Anolis sagrei: one gene and its partners. The protein of the gene in region 2 purifies or fractionates together with the protein of the main gene of each other region. This does not show direct contact. Links are inferred from orthologs where the notes say so. Each region holds a gene or a part of one and is shown on either strand. Other genes may lie near its edges.

Region 1 (7,296 bases), on a different chromosome or scaffold from region 2:
TATACCTCTAAGAGACCCGGATTCAAACCCTCATTTGGCCACTGGTGACCCTGGGGATGTCGCACTCTCTCAGCCTCAGGCCCCAGCTACGATGCCATATAATAATGCAGTTTCGGAATACAGGTAACTGCATTGAACTGGGTTATATGAGTCTACACTGCCATATAATCCAGTTCAATGCAGTTAAGATGCATTATATGGCAAAATAGATAGAGCATAAAGGAAAATCCCTTCTGAACAAATAGCATATGCTGACAATTGTGTGACAAAGCGACACCTGCTGAAGTTCTCTCTTCCATGAAACCATTAAAAGCATAGCAAAAGTCTAGTTTTCAGCCTGGCAGCTCATAATCTACTTTGCATCCCACAAATGAGATATAAAATAATACTAATTTATTGGAAATTATTAGTAAGTGTTATTATAACAACGTGGGTTGGGAATAAAATACATCTTGCGGGAGCTAAATTCCTAGCAGACTCACAATCTCCCTCCTCCACAGTATTAGCCATAATCTTCTTTATTAATTAATTAATTAAATTTATTTATTTATGATGCTTATATGCCGCCCTTCTCACCCCGAAGGGGACTGAGCAACTTATACAAGATATATATACATACAATATTTATTATTTGGGGTTCTTTTACCCCGCCCTTCTCACCCCGAAGGGGACTCAGGGCGGCTTACAGAAGCAAAGGCACAATTTGATGCCTGCATCATAAAAACAATAATACACAAAATTACATCAGTACACAGTTAACAACAATTACGCATTATAACCATAAAATCAATAAAACCAAATACAAACCCAATTTCTCCTCTTACATGGTCAGCGTTCGCTACTCATAGATCTAGTTTTACATTCCACTTCATCAATCCTGCTGGTCTTACTCGCCTGGTTGTCTGATTTAATTGCCGGACTGCCCAAAGGCCTGGTCCCATAACCAGGTCATCACCCTTCTCCTAAAGGTGAGGAGGGATGTTGATGCCCTGATTTCCCCCGGGAGTGAGTTCCACAGGTGAGGGGCCACCACTGAGAAAGCCCTGCTCCTCGTCCCCACCAGCCTCACTTGTGACAGTGGTGGGGTCGAGAGCAGGGCCTCCCCAGATGATCTCATTATTATTAGCATAGCACAATATCAGTATTATATATTACTATATTGTATTATACCATTGTACTGTAATATTATTAGTAATATTACATCTGTATATATAATAAAGAAGAGTGTTTGTTTGTATCGGACAGAGGAAATGCGGCGGGAGGAGTATGTGGCAGCGTTCTGATTGGCTGCCGCAGTGGTGCTATTTGCATATGGTCACTGATTGGCCAGCTTCAATAGGAGCCCCTGGTGGAGAAAACAGTTCATGGCAGAAACGGGGACATGAGAAGGAAATTTGCATATGGTCTCTGATTGGCCAGCTTCAATAGGAGCCCCTGGTGGAGAAAACAGTTCATGGCAGAAACGGGGACATGAGAAGGAAATTTGCATATGGTCTCTGATTGGCCAGCCTCAATTCCAAGATTCCGAGTTAACAAAGAGAGGAAAGGAAAAGGCCAGAGGGGGCTGGGTCAGAACACTCCCAATACAGACGAAACTTGGCACACAGAGCCCCCATGACCCACTCTACATCCTACTGCAGTTTGGAGGAGCATGAGTCATGGATGTTGGGACTTGCAGTACCATCACTCACATTCTGAGACCGCTGATAACCTCATCCAATGACTGATCAGGACCAAACTTGGCACATAGACCTCTCATGACCCACTTTACATCCTGGTGTGGTTTGGTCGGGGATGGACCATGGATTATGGGACTTGCAGTACCATTGCTCAATTCTTGAGACCACTGCAACCCTCATCCAATTACCGATAAAGACCAAACTTGGCACACTGAGTCTCCATGACCCACTCTACATCCTGCTGCAGTTTGGAGGAGGACAGACCATGGATGATGGGACTTCAAGTACCTCCACTCCCTTCCAAAGATTGCTGCAACCCTCTTCTAATGACCAATCAAGACCAAACCTGCCACATACAGCCCCCATGATCCACTCTACATTCTGCTGCTGTTTGAAAGAGGATGGACTTTGGATGATGGGACTTGCAGTACCTTCACTCACTTCCTGAAAATAATGCAGCCGTTATCCAAAGACCAATAAAGACCAAACTTGGCATACAGAACCGCCATTACCCACTTTCTCTAATAACCCGGGCAACGCCGGGTCCCCAAGCTAGTATAATATAAAATAGATAATTGTAATATCATTATTATTAGTATTTATTGTATTACATTATAATATTATAAATATTATAAGTATATACAATGTATTATAAGCAGGAGACAAGATGGAACTGCCTTCCTGGGCCCCCTCTCTTCACTTCCCCCTTCTCTGAAATGGTACAGTCCCTCATTTAAATTCTAATAGGTTTCTTGACACCTCCCTTTACCTCCCCCTATTAACAAAATGGTACGACCCAGAATTCCCCCAGCGTTCATAGGTTTTAATGGCCCCATTTGATACAGTAGGGAAATGTACTTCATCCTTATTGCTATGGTACAGCCCAGTTTCCCCCTACACTAGAATGGTACAGTCTGGAAAAAAGCAGACCCGCCGGGTAATTATAACTGAATGAATTCAGGTCAGGTCAGACCATCATACAATTAGGGGTCTCCCTTCTTTCATACAATGGATTCGCCTAGCTATGTATCCCCCCTTCTGTTTCGTTTGGTTCGTTCCAGCCCCACCCCTCTTTGTAAGGATCGGCCCCGCCCCCTAGTCTCGCACAGAATGGTTCAGCCCTCCCAGCCTATTTTCCCATTATAGTTACAGGGTGGGTCTCAAAGCAATCAGTATTCCCCCCCCCCCTTTTACGCCCCTCAGTGGATTGATCGAGGGGAACCTACCATAGATACCGTCCTCCATGGTGACCAGAGTGTCCCCAGAGCTCCCCACTTTCTCCTTGTCTCCTTTCTTCGGGGCTTCGACGGCTGCGCCTTCCTCCCGCAACCGCCTGGCCTTACAACTGGAAAGGAAAGTCCCGCCTCCTCACGAACAGCGTGGCCAATAGGAAGGAAAGATCTCGCGAACCCGCTCCTGAGTGCGAGGCGATGGAGCCAATAGGAGCGGTTATGGTTACGATAGACGTCTATCTCAACCAATAGGCGCCTCCGTGGTTGATATTGACAGGGGCGTTGTCCAATTAAAGTTTCCCTTATTGCCCATCTGATCGGCTTCGTGATATGCGATAGACTTCGAACTGTCCCCACCTCTTCATACATTTGGAAAAGTCTGTACATCTATGAACCGCTAGATGTCACCTTTCGAACCCGCCCTCCTTCACGCTTAAGTGTCAATCAGGGTAACTGACGTTTGAGCCAGCCAATAAGAGGGAGGGAAAGCAGCTCCGCCTTTTGAGTAAACTAGAAAGGGAGTAGACTGTTGCTAAGAGGGGCCTAGGCGGTTGCTATGGACTCAAATAGCCAGTAGCCTTGTTAAAGAAAGAGGAGGACTGTTGCACCTCTGGGTTCATTCCTATAGCTTGTATATTTATTTATTTATTTATTTATATGCTGCCCTTCTCGCCCCGAAGGGGACTCAGAGCAGCTTACAAGTTATATATACATAGAATCATAGAATCAAAGAGTTGGAAGAGACCTCATGGGCCATCCAGTCCAACCCCCTGCCAAAAAGCAGGAATATTGCATTCAAATCACCCCCGACAGATGGCCATCCAGCCTCTGTTTAAAAGCTTCCAAAGAAGGAGCCTCCACCACACTCCGGGGCAGAGAGTTCCACTGCTGAACGGCTCTCACAGTCAGGAAGTTCTTCCTCATGTTCAGATGGAATCTCCTCTCTTGTAGTTTGAAGCCATTGTTCCGCGTCCTAGTCTCCAAGGAAGCAGAAAACAAGCTTGCTCCCCCCTCCCTGTGGCTTCCTCTCACATATTTATACATGGCTATCATATCTCCTCTCAGCCTTCTCTTCTTCAGGCTAAACATGCCCAGTTCCCTAAGCCGCTCCTCATAGGGCTTGTTCTCCAGACCCTTGATCATTTTAGTCCCCCTCCTCTGGACACATTCCAGCTTGTCAGTATCTCTCTTGAATTGTGGTGCCCAGAATTGGACACAATATTCCAGGTGTGGTCTAACCAAAGCAGAATAGAGGGGTAGCATTATTTCCTTAGATCTAGACACTATGCTCCTATTGATGCAGGCCAAAATCCCATTGGCTTTTTTTTTTTTTTGCCGCCACATCACATTGTTGGCTCACGTTTAACTTGTTGTCCACAAGGACTCTAAGATCTTTTTCACACGTACTGCTCTCGAGCCAGGCGTCCCCCATTCTGTATCTTTGCATTTAGTTTTTCCTGCCAAAGTGGAGTATCTTGCATTTGTCACTGTTGAACTTCATTTTGTTAGTTTTGGCCCATCTCTCTAATCTGTCAAGATCGTTTTGAATCCTGCTCCTGTCTTCTGGGGTATTGGCTATCCCTCCCAATTTGGTGTCGTCTGCAAACTTGATGATCCTGCCTTCTAACCCTTCATCTAAGTCATTAATAAAGATGTTGAACAGGACCAGGCCCAGGACGGAACCCTGCGGCACTCCGCTCGTCACTTCTTTCCAGGATGAAGAGGAAGCATTAGTGAGCACTCTCTGGGTTCGTCCATTTAACCAATTACAGATCCACCTCACCGTAGTTTTGCCTAGCCCACATTGGACTAGTTTCCTTGCCAGAAGGTCATGGGGGACCTTGTCAAAGGCCTTACTGAAATCCAATATATTTTCTTTTTTTTCTAATAATATTAATTATATTATTAGCATAGCACAATATTAGCATTATATATTACTATATTGTACTATACCACTATACTGCAATATTATTAGTAATATTACATGTAATTTAAAATATATAATTATTATATATTGTATTATTAGTATTATGTTACAACATCATGATCAATATTATATGTATTTATTTATTTACTTTGCTTATATACCGCTGTATCTCAAGCCCGAAGGCGACTCACAGCGGTACTTACAATATATTGTAATTATTAGTGTAGTACAATATTAGTAGTATATTCCACTATACTGCAATATTATTAGCAATATTACATGTAATATATAATATACAAGCATTGAAATATATAATATACAAGCATTGATAGACAGCTGTAGATAACCAAACAAATCAACCAAAACATTGTGATGTATTGAAACAGCTGTGGATCCGGGCGAGAGGTAGACTGCATTGGATAATGCAGAATGTTGGATGAGCAAAGGTTGGATAAGCAAGACTCTACTATATATGCTTGTGTAAATAATGCCAATTAGCTGCTCTGCACAGCTGATCTGAAGGGTTGCTACTTGATTTATTGATAAGCCAGCACAAACGAAAAACAGGTTCAATCATGTGAGAAAGGCAGAGAAGGATTTTTTTTTAAGCCCAGCTGGCAGTCAGAAGTTTTGGGAAAGTCTCTTTTCCACATCACTGACAGGATAACAATCAACTCCAAAGCTGTGTGGCCAACCTTAAAGACAAAATAAATTAGGCAATAAACTCTACATTGGTCTAAAATCACATCTATCTGCCATTCCAGTCTCAGTATTTTTAACTTTTCTAAATTTGCCATCTTTAAATAATTTTATTTTTTAAGTGAAAAGCAATAATATCACAAAAAGGAGAAAATTTATTATGTATAATGCTAAAATTATGTAGCTAACTAACTAGCTACTACAACAAAGTACAAAGCTACATTAGAAACAAACCAACAAAACACACACTTACATAGACACAAACACACAGAAACTACACCAACAAACGAAAGACAGACATAAGTCTAATTCTACAAACCTCACACTCTATTCGTTGGGTTTTTATTTTTTATTTTTTTCAACAAGAGCAACATTGTGCAATTTTACTGTTATTAGTTATTTTGAAAACCTGAAGTCCTATACATCTAACCTGGAAGGAAGTGGTATTGCACTCAGGAAAAGTAGATGGAGGAGGCAAAATAATGGTCTGCCTCAAGGCAGCATTCTTGCACCGACCTTGCTTAACATCTTTACTAGCAATCAGCCACAGCCACCACTCACAAAGAGCTTTATGTATGCTGATGACCTTGGCCTAACAATATAAGCACATGACGAAACAGCCAAAAAACAGCTTACTAATGCCCTGAAAGATCTCTCTAGCTACTACAAAGATAACCACCTGAAGCCTAACTCTGCCAAGGCACAAGTGTGTGCTTTCCACCTATGTAACTGTGAAGCCAACAGAAAATTGAAAGTTGCCTGAGAAGGCCAAGAGCTCGAACACTGGCTGGCTCTCAGCAGGTCTTTGGAAGGGCCAGCCCAGTGGTACCATAGATTTAGAAGGGACCCATAAATGTCATCGAGTGCACATACCCCCCCCCCCCCCGCCAGGCTGGACACAAAGCCCTCCTGACAGAGGGCCATTCCACCATAGATAAAGACACCTTGTTGATGGGAAGCTTCCCACCGGAGTGGAAATCATCTATCGGACAGATGGCAAGCTGTTTAACCTCAGCAGACTGAAAGCCAAAACCAAAGTCACAACAACATCTGTTATAGAACTCCAGTATGCTGATGACAATGTCGTCTGTGCGCATACGGAAGAAGATCTACAAGCCACTCTCAACACCTTTGCAGAAGCATACACAAAGCTTGGCCTGTCACTGAACATCGAGAAAACCAAAGTGCTGTTCCAGCAGTCACCAGCCGTCCCCTCTCCAATGCCAGTGATACAGCTTAATGGTGTAACGTTAGAAAATGTCGACCATTTCCGCTACCTTGGCAGCCACCTCTCCACCAAAGTCAACATCGACGCCGAAATACAACACCGCCTGAGCTCTGCAAGTGCAGCATTTTCCCGAATGAAGCAGAGAGTGTTTGAGGACCGGGACATCCGTAGGGAGACCAAGGTGCTTGTCTATAAAGCTATTGTCCTCCCAACCCTGCTCTATGCTTGTGAGACGTGGACTGTCTACAGACGTCACATGCAACTCCTGGAACGATTCCATCAGCGCTGCCTCCGGAAAATCCTGCAAATCTCCTGGGAGGACAAGCGGACAAACGTCAGTGTGCTGGAAGAAGCAAAGACCACCAGCATTGAAGCGATGGTCCTCCAACATCAACTCCTCTGGACAGGCCATGTTGTCCGGATGCCTGACCACCGTCTCCCAAAGCAGTTGCTCTACTCCGAACTTAAGAACGGAAAACGGAACGTTGGTGGACAGGAAAAGAGATTTAAAGATGGGCTCAAAGCCAACCT
Region 2 (8,069 bases):
AGTGGGATTTTCTGCCTTGATATTCTGGGATATAGGGCTGTGTGGAAGGGCCCCCAGTCACATACTTGCAGTGGTTAGTCCAAAGTTTTCATGGTTACTGTCTAAAGAGCTATCCCAAAGAAATGTAGTTCTGTGGGGAAAGCGACATTTGAAAACATTAATCAATGGCAAATGTATTTTAGCACCGAGAAGAATTAAACTGCTGCAGATGTTTCTTATGTCCAGAAACAATTGTTTGTTCACATTCTTCTTCTTTTTCACATTCTTCTTCCAATTCTTTTCTTCTGGTTGTGTGACTAAGAGGATGATCCTTTTCCAACAAGTAGTTCCCTATTTTTTTCTTTTGTAACCAGAGATGAGAGAAATAACTTTTAAAAATCTTGATTCTGGAACTCACTGCTGGGCAACTCTGGGGGCCCTTCCACACAGCCCTCTATATCCCAGAATAGCAAGGCAGAAAATCCCGCAATACCTGTTTTGAACTGTGTAACAGTCTGGACTCAGATAACCCACTTCAAAGCAGATATTGTGGGATTTCCTGCCTTGATATTCTGGGTTTTATGGCTGTGTGGAAGGGCCCTGGGAGTTGTGCTTCAAAAGAGTAACTTCTCCAGAGAATTGTCAAAGGCTTTAATGGCCGGAATCACTGGGTTGTTGTAGGTTTTTTGCGCTCTATGGCCATGTTCTAGAAGCATTCTCTCCTGATGTTTCGCCCGCATCTATGGCAGGCATCCTCAGAGGTTGTGAGCCCACTATGAACCTCCTATGAACCTGCGTGATCCCTCCTCTTGCTCCTGCCTCCGTCACAAGCATAACTTGTGGGGACGAGGGAGAGGGCCTTCTCTGTGGTGGCCCCGTGGCTCTGGAATTCACTCCCCAGGGAGATTAGGCAAGCACCAACCCTGGCAGCCTTTAGGAAAAGTTTAAAACTTGGCTTTTCCAGTGTGCATTTGAAGAATGAATAACTAATTCCTATACCAGGTCCCGTCCCAGTGTCGATTTGTTTTTCTGATGCACTTTATCTCATCCCTCAGGGGAGATTAACCTCATTGTTTATCCCACAGAGTCTCTCACTAGACACAGCACTTTATCTACCTATCTCACCCACAGGTTTTACAATTTTTACCTTTCGCATTTGGCCCAGCTCACCCTTGTTAATCCTTGTACAGTTTTATACTCTGTTTTATTATGTTATTGTCACTATATTACCATGTCATTGTTTAGCATTTTCGCTTGATGTTATCATCTGTTTTTGTACGTATTTTATTTTATTTTGCCTTATTGTAATTGCTCAGGCTTGGCCCTATGTTAGTCACCCAAGTCTCTTTGGGAGATGGTGATGGGGTACAAAGAAAGTTATTATTGTTATTATTATTTGAAACACAACAGGATGAGTGCACAGCAAACAAGATCATGTATTGGAGAATAATGCATGCAGATCTCAATAAGATCTCAGATCCCACCCACCCCCCACCCCCCAAAACCAACTTTTCAATCTCTCCTTAAGTTTCAACTGTGACACTAATGTTTTGGCGATCTTGAAAGTGTCAGAAAACAAGCAGACAGGAAATCCATGATTTGATTCAATATACTAATTTCAAAAAAAATGATTAAAAGCCCAGTGCCAAAGGGTTTTGAGTAAATCCAGCATTTAAGGCATAAATGGGAGGATTTTTGTATGGAGACCGTGCCAGTTTTCATGATGAATTTTAAACTCACATCTTGTGTTCACTATATTTTAAGCTTTGTTCTGTGTATTTTAATATATGTATTTGTAGAAATATGTTTTATGATATGTATTTTATATAATGTTTATGATTTTATGTGTTTTAGCTATGTTGTGACCCACCTTGAGTCACAAGGAGAGGCGGGTAAGAAATAAAGATTATTATTATTATTATTATTATTATACTGACACAAAAACACAGTATGTCACTGCAAACGAGATATATGTGCTGGATTTCATATCACAAAATCACAAGTCGAATACTTCCCAAGCATCTAGGACTGTGTGATGTATTTTTGGACGATGTGCACAGATCCAAGTGAGGTGGCCTTTTGCAGTTGACAAATCGTGATTTTGTCAAAGATGATGATGATGATTATTATTATTATAGATGCAGGCAAAACATCAGGAGAGAATGCTTCTAGAACATGGCTATACAGCCCGAAAAACCTACAATAACCCAACTTCTCCAGATGCTGCTCATCAGTTTCCTTCTTCAAGAAGCATCAACCTACACACAATTTCCTCCTCAGCCATTTGCTGAGATTGTAGTACCTCTGGTAGTAGCAGGGACTCCAACAACAGGAGCTACTGGAAGAAGATCCTGCTTTTGTCTGCACTTTCCTTTAACCCTTGGTGCCCATCAAAGGATTTCAGGGGGGAAATTCCAACATAGTCAAAGAGAACTTCTGTGAACAAGCTAATGCCCAAGTTACACGAGAAAGGGATCTGTCCTTTTGTAAGAGTGCCTTGATTCCATCACATCTGTGCTTGTTTACACATATTTCCTCCCAATGGATAGAAGGTTTCATTTCACTCATCCCAAAAAGTTCTGCCCAGTGTTTCACTTACCTATTTAAAAGCAAGTCCTTCCATTTATTTGGCTTTCTGCTCTGTCCCTAAGGAGTGGAGGAAGGGGGGAGACGGCTGCTGCTGCTTCCTCCGTCTTCCAGGTTTCTCCTGCTCTTCTTGGTACTTTCCTCAAACTTCTTGAAGCTTTTCGTGCATTAGCGACATCCCCAAATGTGAAAAGATCCGAAGACATCTGTCCCTGGGGCAGACCACTCCCTGGGAGAAAATAGGGGAATCTCTCTCCTCAATGTGCTCCATTACAAAGGAATGGGGGGATTTCCAAGAATTCCCTGGGACATGTAGTGCAAAGACATCCCACGCTGCAAGATTCCCCTTTTTAAATTTGTTGATATTGCAGTTTTCTGTTAATTTCTGGTTTGATAAGGGGATAATCGCCTCCCCCTTTCTTATCCCATTTTCCAGCCCAGCTTGCTCCAGCCCTCGTGGTAGGAAAGAGTCATTTGCTGAATCAAAGCACTTCTTCCCGGCAATACAATGCCTCCCCTGTGGCGGATTTTTGTGCCGTGAGAACGTGTGAAAGAATGGCATCAGAGAGATCTCCCCAGAAGGAAAGTGTGCAGGGCAGCTGGCTATTAATGTCGTATTAGTGATGGATTAGCAGAAGGCTTTGCCAGATAGACCGAGCCTAGCTTGGCAAAACTAATAAGCTAGCTCACAGCAAGGGGCCAGGAATGCCTGCCTCCAAGTTCTTTGGACAAAGATGGGGAGGATATAATAGGATTCAGGGAAACAGAAAAATCCACAGGTGAATGTACTGCGTTGCTTGGGGTAGCCAAGTGATAGACTGGGGGTGCATCTTAACAGAGTAGTGAAGTGGGCCAAAACTAACAAAATGAAGTTCAACAGGGACAAATGCAAGATACTCCACTTAGGCAGAAAAAATGAAATGCAAAGATACAGAATGGGGGACACCTGGCTCGAGAGCAATACCTGTGTGAAAAAGATCTTGGAGTCCTCGTGAACAACAAGTTAAAGATGAGCCAACAATGTGATGCAGTGGCAAAAAAAAGCCAATGGGATTTTGGCCTGCATCAATAGTAGTATAGTGTCTAGATTCAGGGAAGTAATGCTACCCCTCTATTCTGCCTTGGTTAGACCACACCTGGAATATTGTGTCCAATTCTGGGCACCACAATTGAAGAGAGATATTGACAAGTTGGAATGTGTCCAGAGGAGGGTGACTAAAACGATCAAGGGTCTGGAGAGCAAGCCCTATGAGGAGTGGCTTAAAGAGTTGGGCATGTTTAGCCTTCAGAAGAGAAGGCTGAGAGGAGACATGATGAGGGCCATGGATAAATATGTGAGAAGAAGTCATGGGGAGGAGGAAGCAAGGTTGTTTTCTGCTGCCTTGGAGACTAGGACACAGAACAATGTCTTCAAATTACAGGAAAGGAGATTCCATCTGAACATTAGGAAGAACTTCCTGACTGTGGGAGCTGTTCGGCAATGGAACTCTCTCCTCCAGAGTGTGGTGGAGGCTCCTTCTTTGGAGGCTTTTAAACAGAGGCTGGATGGCCATCTGTCAGGGGTGCTTTCAATGCAATTTTCCTACTTCTTGGCAGGGGGTTGGACTGAATGGCCCATGCGGTCTCTTCCAAATCTATGATTCTATGATTCTATCTACACAACAGAATTAATTCACTGGGTTGCTGTGAGTTTTCTGGGCTGTATGGCCATGTTCCAGAAGCATTCTCTTCTGACATTTTACCTGCATATATGGTAGGCATCCCAACCTCTGAGGATGCCTGCCATAGATGCAGGCAAAATGTCAGGAGGGACTGCTTCTGGAACATAACCATTCAAACCGGAAAATTCATAACAACCCAGTGATTCCAGCCATGAAAGCCTTCAATAATACAAATCCTTTGGAGTCTTCTGCTTAGCATCTTGTACACATTTGCTTCACCATCATTTGGAACAGTATCTAGCTGCACAATATATGTATCATTAAAATTGTATCATGTACCATTGTTGAACACCATTGGGAAACATTCAGATACAAGAGATTCATAAGTATCAAAAAGAAAGAAAAGAGTTATTTTTCCCACCCTGGACATTCCGCAGATATATAAACCTCACTTGCCTAGTTTCCAACAGACCCCTCAATTCTGAGGATGCCTGCCATAGATGTGGGTAAAATGGCAGGAGAGAATGCTTCTGGAACATGGCCATACAGCCTGGAAAACTCACAGCAACCCAGTGAAAACCGACAAAACATAATTCAGTTTTGACACCAAATTCATTGTTTGTTTGGTTGCATGCTGCAAGTCGCTTCTGGCGTGAGAGAATCAGCCATCTGCGAAGATGTTGCCGGGGGGGATGCTCAGATGTGTTGCAATGCTGCGGGAAGGCTTCTCTCATGCTGCATTTTTAAACTTTGTGTTTTTAAACATGTTACAACTGTACCATCAGTTTGCTTCTGATACCAGGCATGTAGCCAGGGGAGGGGCTCGGGGGGCTTCAGCCCCCCCCGAAATTTTCATGGTGGTTCGCGAAAAGGCCTTATTGGTGCATTATTTAAACTGTTATGTTTATTCATATCATGATCTGATCACCATACTCAATATATCCCATATGCATGGGGGTATTGGGGTAATGATACAAAAGGTTTGCTAGGCTAGACCCTCTTTCACTCAGACTCAGCCCCCCCCTGAAACTCAGCCCCCCCCCGAAACCCCCCCTGAAAAATTTTTTAGCCCCCCCCGAAACAAAATCCTGGCTACGGGCCTGTCTGATACAATAAATAAATACCACATTCATTACCATGGCTCAGTGCTACAGAATCCTGGGAGATCTATATTGTTGAAGGCTTTCATGACTGGAATCACTGGGTTGTTGTAGGTTTTCGGGCTATATGGACATGTTCTAGAAGCATTCTCTCCTGACATTTTGCCTGCATCTATGGCAGGAATCCTCAGAAGTTATAAGGTCTGTTTAAAACCTCTGAGGGTGCTTGCCATAGATGCAGGAGAAACATCAGGGGAGAATGCTTCTAGAACATAGCCATATAGCCTGAAAAACCTACAACAACCTGTGAGATATAGTTTGGTGAAGGACCAGCACTCTGCAGAGAAGCCTAAGAACTTTATAAAACTACAACTTCCCATGATTCCATTGCAGTGAAAGCAGTGTCAAACTGCAATATAGTTCCCAGATCTGGATTCTAATTTTCCACTGAGCCTTTGAACTGACTTCATGACCTCTTGCTTCTTGATACCTCACAAGTACACTGTGACAATGAAATAAGGGGGTCATACATATCTCCTTAAAGGGGGTGCCGTGGCACAGTGCATTAAACCGCTAAGATGCAGAACTTGCTGATCAGAAGGTCGGTGGTTCAAATCTGTGGGACGGAATGAGCTCCCATTGTTAGCCCCAGCTTCTGCCAACCTAGCAGTTCAAAAATATGCAAATGGAAGTAGATCCATAGGTACCGCTTCAGCAGAAAGGTAATGTCACTCTGTGCAGTCATGCTGGCCACATCACCTTAGAGGTATCTACAGACAATTCGGACTCTTTGACTTAGAAATAGAAATGAGCACTATACTATCTCCCAGAGTTGTACTTCACTAGACTTAATGTCAAAGGAAAACCTTTACCTTTAAATATCTCCTTAGGCAGGAATATACTGTTGTTGTGTGCCATTAAGTAATTTCAAATTTATAACAAGCCTAAGGTGAATGTAGCACAATATTTTCTGGGACTGAGATGGCTGTAAATAACTGAAGATATATGCAGAAAAGGAAGAGAGGTTGCACAGAGATTAGGACATTAATCATTAGATGCAGATTGCAAGAAGAGGAATTCTACATAATTAGGAAGAAGTTTCTGGTAGTAAGAGCTACTCAACAATGGAGTGGACAGCCTCAGTTGATGGTGGACTCTCCTACATCTAAGGGTTTTAAACAGTTTTGATGGCGTTAGTCAAGGATGTGCCCATCAGGTTTCCAGGTACAAGAGCAAGCAAGATTGAATGCTTGCAGAGGATGAGTCGCAGTGATCTTTTGTGAGTCCTTTTCCCTATTATGGTATTGATCCAACAATTTCCAAGGTTTGAGTATATACACCTGTCAATTGGGCGATGAAACAGGTTGGGGATCCTTCATGCTGTCTTCCTGCCAGAGCTGTTAAACCACTCTCAGAAGTTGTGTTAATTTCTCCCAAATTTATTGTGTACTAAAGCGGTTCATACTGTGCATAATGAGCAGAACTATCACACTAGTTATTATTTTTTCATGTCACCCCATTTGAAAACTGCTTTGAAAACAGTTTAATATGCTATTAAAGCATATTTGTGCTTTAACGGCATATCAAGGCATATTTGCGCTTTAATGGCGTAATATTCCACTATTTTCTTTTCTGCAGTATAAGATCCTTGGTTCTGACAGTGTTGTTCATACTGCCTAGTTTTGCCCAGACTATGCATTGCCTTAAAATATTTTTAGTTGTTCTAATACAATCATGGCATAATGTCACAGTGCTATTATGCTGTGCCTTAAACCATCACAAATGATGAGAATGAAACATAAATTACAGTGTGGTATATGGTTCTACAACAGTGTTTCTCAACCTTCCTTATGCCGTGACCCCTTAATACAGTTCCTCATGTTGTGGTGACCTCCAACCATAAAATTATTTTTGTTGCTACTTCACAACTGTAATTTTGCTACTGTTATGAATTATAATGTAAATATCTTAAATGTAGGATGTATTTTCATTCACTGGATGAAATTTGGCACGAATATCTGATACTCCCACATTTAAATACTGGTGGGTGTTTTTCGGGGGGTGGTTTAGTCATTTGGGAATTGTAGTTGCTTGGGTTTATAGTTAATCTACAATCAAAGAGCATTCTGAACTCCACCAATGATGGAATTGAATCAGACTTAGCACACAGAACTCCCATGACCAACAGAAAATACTGGAAGGGTTTGATGAGCATTGACCTTGAGTTTTGGAATTGTAGTTCACTTCCATTCAGTGGATTCAAACAGTGATAGATCTGGACCAAGCTTGGCACAAATACTCAATATGCCCAAATGTGAACACTGGTGGAATTTGGGGGAAATAGACCTTGACATTTAGGAGTTGTAGTTGCTGGGATTTAAAGTTCACCTACAATCAAAGAGCATTCTGAACCGCACAGATAGAATTGGGTCAAACTTCCCCCTCAGAACCCCCATGATCAATAGAAAATTGTGTTTTCTGATAGTCTTTGGTGACCCCTCTTACACCTCCTCCCGACTCCCAGGTTGAGAAACACTGTTCTACAATAAAGTAAAGGAGGCATTTTGGAAAACATCCCACACAGTTAAGGAATCTGAATAGAGATTTCCAAAGGTTAAGGTCAGGACTGTGATGTTTTTTCACGATAACAACAAATCATTTACAGTATAAAAATTACAAGAAAAGGGGGGTTTCAAGAGCATAAAACATAGATAACCAGGAAACATAGGTATTTGTTTGGGAA
Region 3 (7,612 bases), on a different chromosome or scaffold from region 2:
GAACTATACATCCCAGTAACTACAACTCGCATATGTCAAGGTCTATTTTCCCCCAAGAGCGCCTCAAGAGCGCCCCTGGGCAAAATCAACTATACTGCAAATGCTTACTTTGCGTACTGGGTTGAGCCGCCCCTGGTCATACTACATTAAGTACTTTATTAAAAAGAACAATTAAGCTAAATATGAAACTTATTTCTCTGAAGATTGTTTGTACCCTTTTGGGGATATACACTAACCACTGTTGTGGCAGGTGGCCAGCAATGTGGTCTTCTTTGCTATGCTGACTGGGTTCTCCTGAAATTAGAAAATACGCAGTTCTGACTAATAGATAAAATCATAATGAAAACAAAAGATAAGCTGGCAGTTTTGGTTTCAGTGACTACCTCTATATATTTTACTGCAGTTAATAGGCAATCATTAACTAGCATGTCAGCTCCTTGAATGGTTGATTAAGGGAAGTGGAAACATTGTTCTGTTGACATGGAGGAATAGGGAAGGCTCCATCTATAATTCTTTGGAGATGAAAGGCCCTTCCACACAGCTGTATAACCCAGAAGATCAAGGCAGAAAATCCCACAATATCTGCATTGAACTGGGTTATGTGAGTCCGCACTGCCATATAATGTGGGATTTTAATTAAGATATGTGGAAGGGGGCTCTGGCAAATTCCGATCCCTCAAATCCATGCAGAGATAGTCTATACATTTGCTCAACAAAGATTTGGGGATACTAACTTGGGAGGGTGAGGGAAATCAGGTCCTGGAGATCTTGGGAAGAGCTACCAGCTTCTTTATTAATTGCCCCATTCAGTTGTAATGATTCTGGTTCACAGAAATCACTTAATGTCTCTTTCAAATGATGATAATGACAAACAAGTCAGCCCTGACTTCCTGGACTGCAGCTTTGCCCCTGAACCAGGAAGCACAAATTTACAAGATCAGCTTTAGCACGGTACAGTTCATCTGCACTTGAAATAACAGCCTCTAATTTTTAAGTAGCTTTAAGAGTAGATCAGTCTACCTCCGCTATGAACACTGTTTGTTCAAAAAGCCACAAACTTATCAGAGCAAGCAGTACCTCCGCCCATCTGTTTTTCACACAGCAAGGGAGCAGACACAGAAAACAAGCTAGCCAGACAGCCGTATCCGGATTGCCATCTTTTCTTCCCCTCCAGTAGTGGCTCTGTTCAACAGGCAGACATTAAGCAGGTTAAGCTTTACCTTTTCTCCAAGCTGGGGAAAATCTAGGGCCAGTTCAACTGTCATAGGAACAATACCTGGCTGGACTTTCTCAAATAACTAGAGTTGCCTTGTTTTCTGTTTTGTCAAAACTGTTTTGGTGCTTTGGTGTTTCCCATTTTTGTCATAGGATATCTCAGCCACAATATTCCAGCATGGCAGGAATTTTTTTTATAAAAAAATGAAAACACTGAGTTCAGAATGGAGAAGGCCCAAAGCCTCAAGAGCAAGCTTACTTTAAATATAACATGCATTCATATTCCCATAAGGTAAAACCCAAATTTGGTCCACAGAAATTTATGATCCATTGCATTACAAAGTTATAATACTCTGGGGATTCCAGGCAAGTGGCCACAGTCACAATCCCACTGCTATGCAGCCAGCCTTCTGAGTGAGAAGATGATCTTTTGTAAAGGCTGTTTCAAATACATGTCCCTTTCTTTCTTGTGGACTGAGACTCAGAATACCATGTTCAAATTCCTGCTCGATTATAAAAAATCGCTGGGTAACTTTGGGCAAGTCCTACTCCTTCAGCCTCAGAGGGGGCAAGAGCAAACCGTTTCTGAACAACTGTGCCAAGTTTATCCCGGGAAAGGTGTGTCTTAGAGTCACACAACAACAAAAACAACCACCACAAATTCTGGAACAAAGAATTGGAGATTAAGAATATTTCCTGCTTTTACAGAAGGTAAGATACTGTGAAGATATAACCAGTTACGTCTGGAAGTCAACCTGTGGTGTGTAATGTGCCCTACATCTGATCTGAATTTGTGTGTGTGAAGAAATGTATTCTGATATCAAAAACAGAAATGTTCTCTCCTCTCTTCTAAACCAACACAAGGCCATGAACCAACACTTATTACTTCATCACACTACAGAATGAATCCACTTTAACTCTGGTTGCTGCTTCTTACAGAATTCTGGGGTTTGTCGTTTAGGGAGGAGCCTTTAACAGCCACACTAAACTACAAACCCCAGAATTCTGCAGGAGGCAGAAACCAGATTTTAAGTGGATTTATTCTCTAGTGTTATGTGGTCCTGCGTTGTGCTTTTACCAGCAGCATAATGGCTAGGGGACACATGGCTAATATCATTGCTTTTTACCAAAATATTGTTAGATTTCCAGTTTACCGATTAAGATTTAGCTTTGGTAATGGCTTTGTTCCAATGATAAAAGTTTGATAGTCAACTTGTCATTTCTCCAATAAAACCATTTGGTGAATGGGTGGGTTGATGAAATCAAAGCCAAAGCACTTTGGCAGGAGGGTATGGGTGGGTGAACTTCCTTCCCACTGAAAACTAAGTGATTTTTGAATTCTACAAGCTGAAGCAGGCAAGGTCACAGTTAGGTCAAACACTGACTATTGCATGAACATTGCCTTGGAAGAGGGAAGCCACAGTGCAGGTAAAGACATTGAAGGCATGCCTCAGATCTCATCTAACTAGCCGCCTCCAGCCAGGAGAAGATGATAGCCTATGCCTGTCATGACTCATCTTGCAAGAGAGGGCATAGCAGTACACAAGTAACGCAGACACGTACACAGCCCTCATATATTTCACTTCTACCACTGGCCACATACTTCTGGAGAGAAAACAAGGGAGCGAGGGTATGTTACCTACCTGATTTGTTTGCTGCCAAAGTGGAGGGGAAGAGGAAGGCCTGGAAACTGGAAGCACAGAGCTCACTCACGGTGCCCATGATGATACTTTAAGAGGGTGCCCTCTCTCAAGCCTGAGTGGGGTGGCTGCTCTTGGACAGGGAAGAAAAACCTTGCAAGTCAGAGGCAGCCAACAGGAAGGTAAGGAAGAGTGCCTGGAGTCCAGGCACCAAATGGTTTTCTCCAGCAGAAGCAGCAGCAGCTGCTGCCACCACCTCCTCCTCCAGACTTTGGGGGGGGGGGGGTAGAGACCGAGCGAGGGATCCCTGGTCCAGCTGAAGCAGAAGGAACAGCAGAGGCTCCCACGCAGTGAGGCCAGCCAATCCCAGCTACCTGCCAGGAAACTCTTACTGTAACCGTATGGTACGGTCAACAAGACGAGACACACACACAGCCACTTAGAGGGCAGTCCAGTTTGGGAACTTTTCCCTCTGTGCCCGCCCCAGCCACTCCTCCCAGTTACCCAGGAGGAGGTTTGGGCAAAGGGTATTTTTAGGTCAGTTTTATCCGGCTTCATTCTTAGGGCTTTAAGCATCTAGCAAGCTGGGCTGTTGCATGGCAACAGTGGCTGCGTAAAGGGAAGGTGAACAAAATATAGTGTGTACAGGCACCAAAGAGTGTGATGTGTGTGTGTACATGTTTATGAGTATGGACGAGTGTAATAACATGGCACAATGAGAGAGGTGGAACCAGCAGTAGAAAAAAAGAAAAGCATCAGGAGCCGCAGCATGCAGCTCTCTCTGGCAGGTACAGTTCAAAGGAAGAACAATTCTCATCTAGAGACAAAGATCTCATACTTCAGGAAGCAGCTTCTATCTAAGCAACATGAGATAGAGAAAACTAGCCAAATATGTAAAGGGTTCAGAAAGTAAAAGAGCTGCAATTGTATAGTGTGTGGCAAATATGGCAACTATGGACGAGCCTCATGGGTTTAAAAACAGATTTGGGATATTTTAGTTCTCATGAAACAGAAAGGTCAGCTAAGTATTTGGACAAGGAAAGGGGTTTGGCTAGCAGAGGCATGGGCAAACTTTAGCCCGTCCAAAGCACCTGGAGGGCCAAAGTTTGTCCATGTCTGGGCTAGCACTTTCCTTTTCTAATAGGTATTGGCTATCTTATAACTTGCTGGGTATCCTTTAAAACATGGTTGGCAGATCATAAGTTTCTTCTATCAGCCAATTATTGCATTAAAGCATCCCCCCATCAGCATCCCATGACATTTGTTTTGAATGGCTCTGAGAAGTTTCTTCATGGTCTCAGTATATCCCATATCTATTTTGTTATATGCTGTCTTGACATTACATCCTCTCAATAAACTGAAATGATTTTGCGATGAATTGCAGCGGCGTTCATAACCTTAGCATTTAGGTTGTGTATTACAGCGCAAACTTCGCACTTGGAGGGAAATGGAATGAGGATGCTCATCTCTAACCTTCACCACAATGCTAGTTGAAGAGCTGCTGATGGCTGGCACTGCTCGTTTGCTTCCGTTGGCTTCCCGCTACACTGCAATGATATCAACTTCCCCGTGAGAGTTACGTACCTTGTAACCTTACTTTCCAGATAACCCTCGTATAAAATGTTGAGTCTTACTGGAAATAATTACCATATGAAAAGGTGGGTTGAGACTCAGAATACCCTGTTCAAATTCCTGCTCGATTATAAAGATTCACTGGGCGACCTTGGGCAAATTCTTCAGACTCAGAGGGGAGCAATAGCAAACCTTTTCTGCACAACTGTGCCAAGTTTATCCTGGGAAAGGTGTGTCTTAAGAGTCACTATAGGTTGGAAATGACTTGAAGGCACACAACAACAAAAACAACCACCACAAATTCTGGAATTTGTTAGCCGAGAAAGGAAGAGCAAAGGAACAAAGAATTGAAAAATAATGTTTACTGGGTGAAAAGAAGTGGCCCAATAGACAATGCTTTGCATGGGGCTGCGACTGCTGAGAATTCTTCAAGAATAACTTGCCTCGAGGATTGAAGCCCCAATAAACAGGGCTCATGTCCTCCTTTTTTTACTCTGCATCTGACTTCTTCCCATGAGGCTTGTAAATAGCTGTTACCTTCACTGAGGCCAGAAACTCTATAGCACATGTTAGAGTAGCAACTGGAAGAAGGCACAAGGGGAAACAAAGGAGTGTTTTATCTACAGTCACAGGTGCACAGCTCAGCTGCAGAGAACGCAGGGCAGGAGAGAGGGAAAAGAAGGTCCACAGCTGTTGGGATGTCTGCCAAATGCTTGAAGGCTGCATGGGGCAGGGATCAATATGGGACCCTTACCATAAATGCAGCCCTACAAACACTCCTGCAGCCTCCCAAGGATTTTTGACAAATTAATTGCTATTGGGATAAAAGGGAATGAAACAAAACCTTTCACACAACACCTTGCACAAAGATTATATAGTGGGCCCTTGCTATCTGCTGGGGTTTGGTTCCAGGACACGCATACACAATACCCAAATCTAGAAATTCCCAAGTCCCTTTATATACAATAGTGTAGTAAAATGGTACCCTGTACACCAAATGACAAAACCAAGGTGGTGGGGTTTTTTGGGGGTATTTTTAAGCATGCAGAATTCATGGATACAGATGGCCAACTGTATATATCTCTTCTTCAGCTTCAGGATCCTGTCCAAATATTATTCAGTTTCACTATTCACTCTATCTGGCTAATGCAATGGTTTGCAACCTGTGGTCCGTGGACCACCAGCGATCTGCAAGAACTACATAAAATATGGTCCGCAGCCTCACCATTACTACACTGTTGTCTTGAAACCATGCGGCAACAAGAGCAACTGGTCTCGCAAAACCCTCTTATAGTGCTGAGGCAACAGGGATATTGGGAGGGGAGAGGCTAACTACCCACAAAAGATTACTACAACCACATCAGCTCTAGATTATTAAATATGTTTTTTTGTGGGCAATTAGATGGCGACTACTGGATGGCATATGTTCTGTATTGGAAATGAGAGATTATATTGTCAAGCCAATGCAATTTTCTGAATCAGCACCCCAAATAACCAAACTGAATCTAAAGTTGACCAGAAACTGATTTGTAACCCTTTTGATACTAATGTTAGAGAGTGGTCCCTGGTCAAAAAAAGAATGGGAACCACAGGGCTAATGGAACTGCTGGTCAAAAAATTAGATGGAGTCTCTGGGTTAATTCTATTCTGATGAAGTACTTTTAATGCAGCTTCTGGAAGCTCCATGACTAGAAAGGGTGAAAAAAAACATCTTAATTTCCTAATCATTTGGTATGCTTTGAGATGTGTTAATCATGGAGACAATACTCCCTAAATTAGATTATCCCAGGAGCAAGCCAAATCAAATAATTTCCACTTATCTTCAATCTCCTTGCTCTTCAGACAGAGAACAAGACAATTGTTTCAATAAATTGGTTCAGACTCCATCTATGAGTATTCCCAATAAATAAGCACTTGGCCTCTTTCACCAGTCAACAGGAATCGGGCAATAATTTCTCATTAGCAGAAGTAACATCAACTACGTATAATTGTGTATTCTTTTATACTATACCTTATACTATACATTATACTATATATGCCATTGAGTAGAAATGAAATGGTTTAAGAAATTGGCAAACAACTGTGCTGCTCAATGAAATGTTGTGGAAAATAAAGCACTGTGTCCAGACAAGATGTTTCTTTTTAGGGTGGAGAACAGGATAGACAGGAATGAAGAAGATGTGTTTGGAACAGTATAAGCAAGAAAAACCAGAGAGCTGGAAAAATAACAAGAAGATAGGAGCCTTTCCCCCATAGAGGCTCACACTCTGTTATAGTTTCTTTTCTTTTTCTTTTATTGTAAATTTGGCAGGACAATATTAATACATGCATTCAAGGATTGGAAAAATCTAAGGCTTAGTAACACAAACACAAAGAGACACACATATGCTGACTACGTGGATGTCCAGAGAAAACAGATAATGGAACCTCAAATCACCTTTATACAAGGATCAATAATTTTAGCTGCCTAGCTTACATTGAAAAGAATTCTAGCCCCAAGAGTCAAGGCCAGGGGGCATATTTTCCGTCTTAAATATAAAAAGGAAATGAAGCTATTTAAAAAAAACTATGGGGAAACTATTCAAAATAACCGTTCAAGTCAATATGGAACTTATGTTAATGACAATTATAGGGAATAAAAACATTGCTGCAAAGAACCAAGATCTATTTAAAGCAATGACCCTAGCATGAAAGGCAGTAATAGACTGGGGATGGGGAAATGAAAAAAATGAGCAAGTCCAATTGGATATCATTACATGTATAAACCAAGAAGGTTCACAGGAGGACAAAATAGAAGTAATTAAAGAGAAATGGGCAATTTATATGAGATGAGCAGAAGAAGGTGAAGCCAGCATAGACATTGTACAAAGATTAAGAAGATTGTGTTTGTGGTTAAAGATAAAGATATAGAGGGAAATGTGGTGGGAAGGGTAGGGAAGGGAGGTGGGAGGAAATATTTAAAAAGTAAAGAATGTGAATAGATAATACAGAAATACTTTACCTCAGTGTAAGCCTACATTTATTATCTGTTCAAATATTATGTTATTTTGCATTCAATTTTTAAAAATTGCTGGTTGTATTGATCTAAGCAAGAAGCCCTTATCTTCCCTGCAATAGGCAGGAATAGAAAATGTTCTTTAATTTTATTTAGTCATTTAGTTATTTTTATTTTGTCTTTCTCTTAG

What was found.
Region 1: the proteins of INAVA (region 2) and CYTH2 purify together in Homo sapiens (co-immunoprecipitation; 3 studies listed by BioGRID and IntAct, counting the BioPlex papers as one, with this or other methods). This does not show direct contact. The link is inferred for Anolis sagrei from reciprocal best matches to the Homo sapiens genes INAVA and CYTH2.
Region 3: the proteins of INAVA (region 2) and CYTH1 purify together in Homo sapiens (co-immunoprecipitation; 3 studies listed by BioGRID and IntAct, counting the BioPlex papers as one, with this or other methods). This does not show direct contact. The link is inferred for Anolis sagrei from reciprocal best matches to the Homo sapiens genes INAVA and CYTH1.

What each region holds. Positions count from the first base shown.
Region 1 is NC_090026.1:20,066,898-20,074,193, forward strand, and holds the start of CYTH2 (cytohesin-2), read right to left. Parts: upstream 3,048-7,296; 5' UTR 2,925-3,047; coding exon 2,906-2,924; intron 1-2,905. UniProt on the Homo sapiens protein: Acts as a guanine-nucleotide exchange factor (GEF). Promotes guanine-nucleotide exchange on ARF1, ARF3 and ARF6. Activates ARF factors through replacement of GDP with GTP.
Region 2 is NC_090024.1:185,461,582-185,469,650, reverse strand, and holds the start of INAVA (innate immunity activator protein), read right to left. Parts: upstream 3,054-8,069; 5' UTR 2,579-3,053; intron 1-2,578. UniProt on the Homo sapiens protein: Expressed in peripheral macrophages and intestinal myeloid-derived cells, is required for optimal PRR (pattern recognition receptor)-induced signaling, cytokine secretion, and bacterial clearance.
Region 3 is NC_090022.1:128,857,866-128,865,477, forward strand, and holds the start of CYTH1 (cytohesin-1), read right to left. Parts: upstream 3,042-7,612; 5' UTR 2,938-3,041; coding exon 2,859-2,937; intron 1-2,858. UniProt on the Homo sapiens protein: Promotes guanine-nucleotide exchange on ARF1, ARF5 and ARF6. Promotes the activation of ARF factors through replacement of GDP with GTP.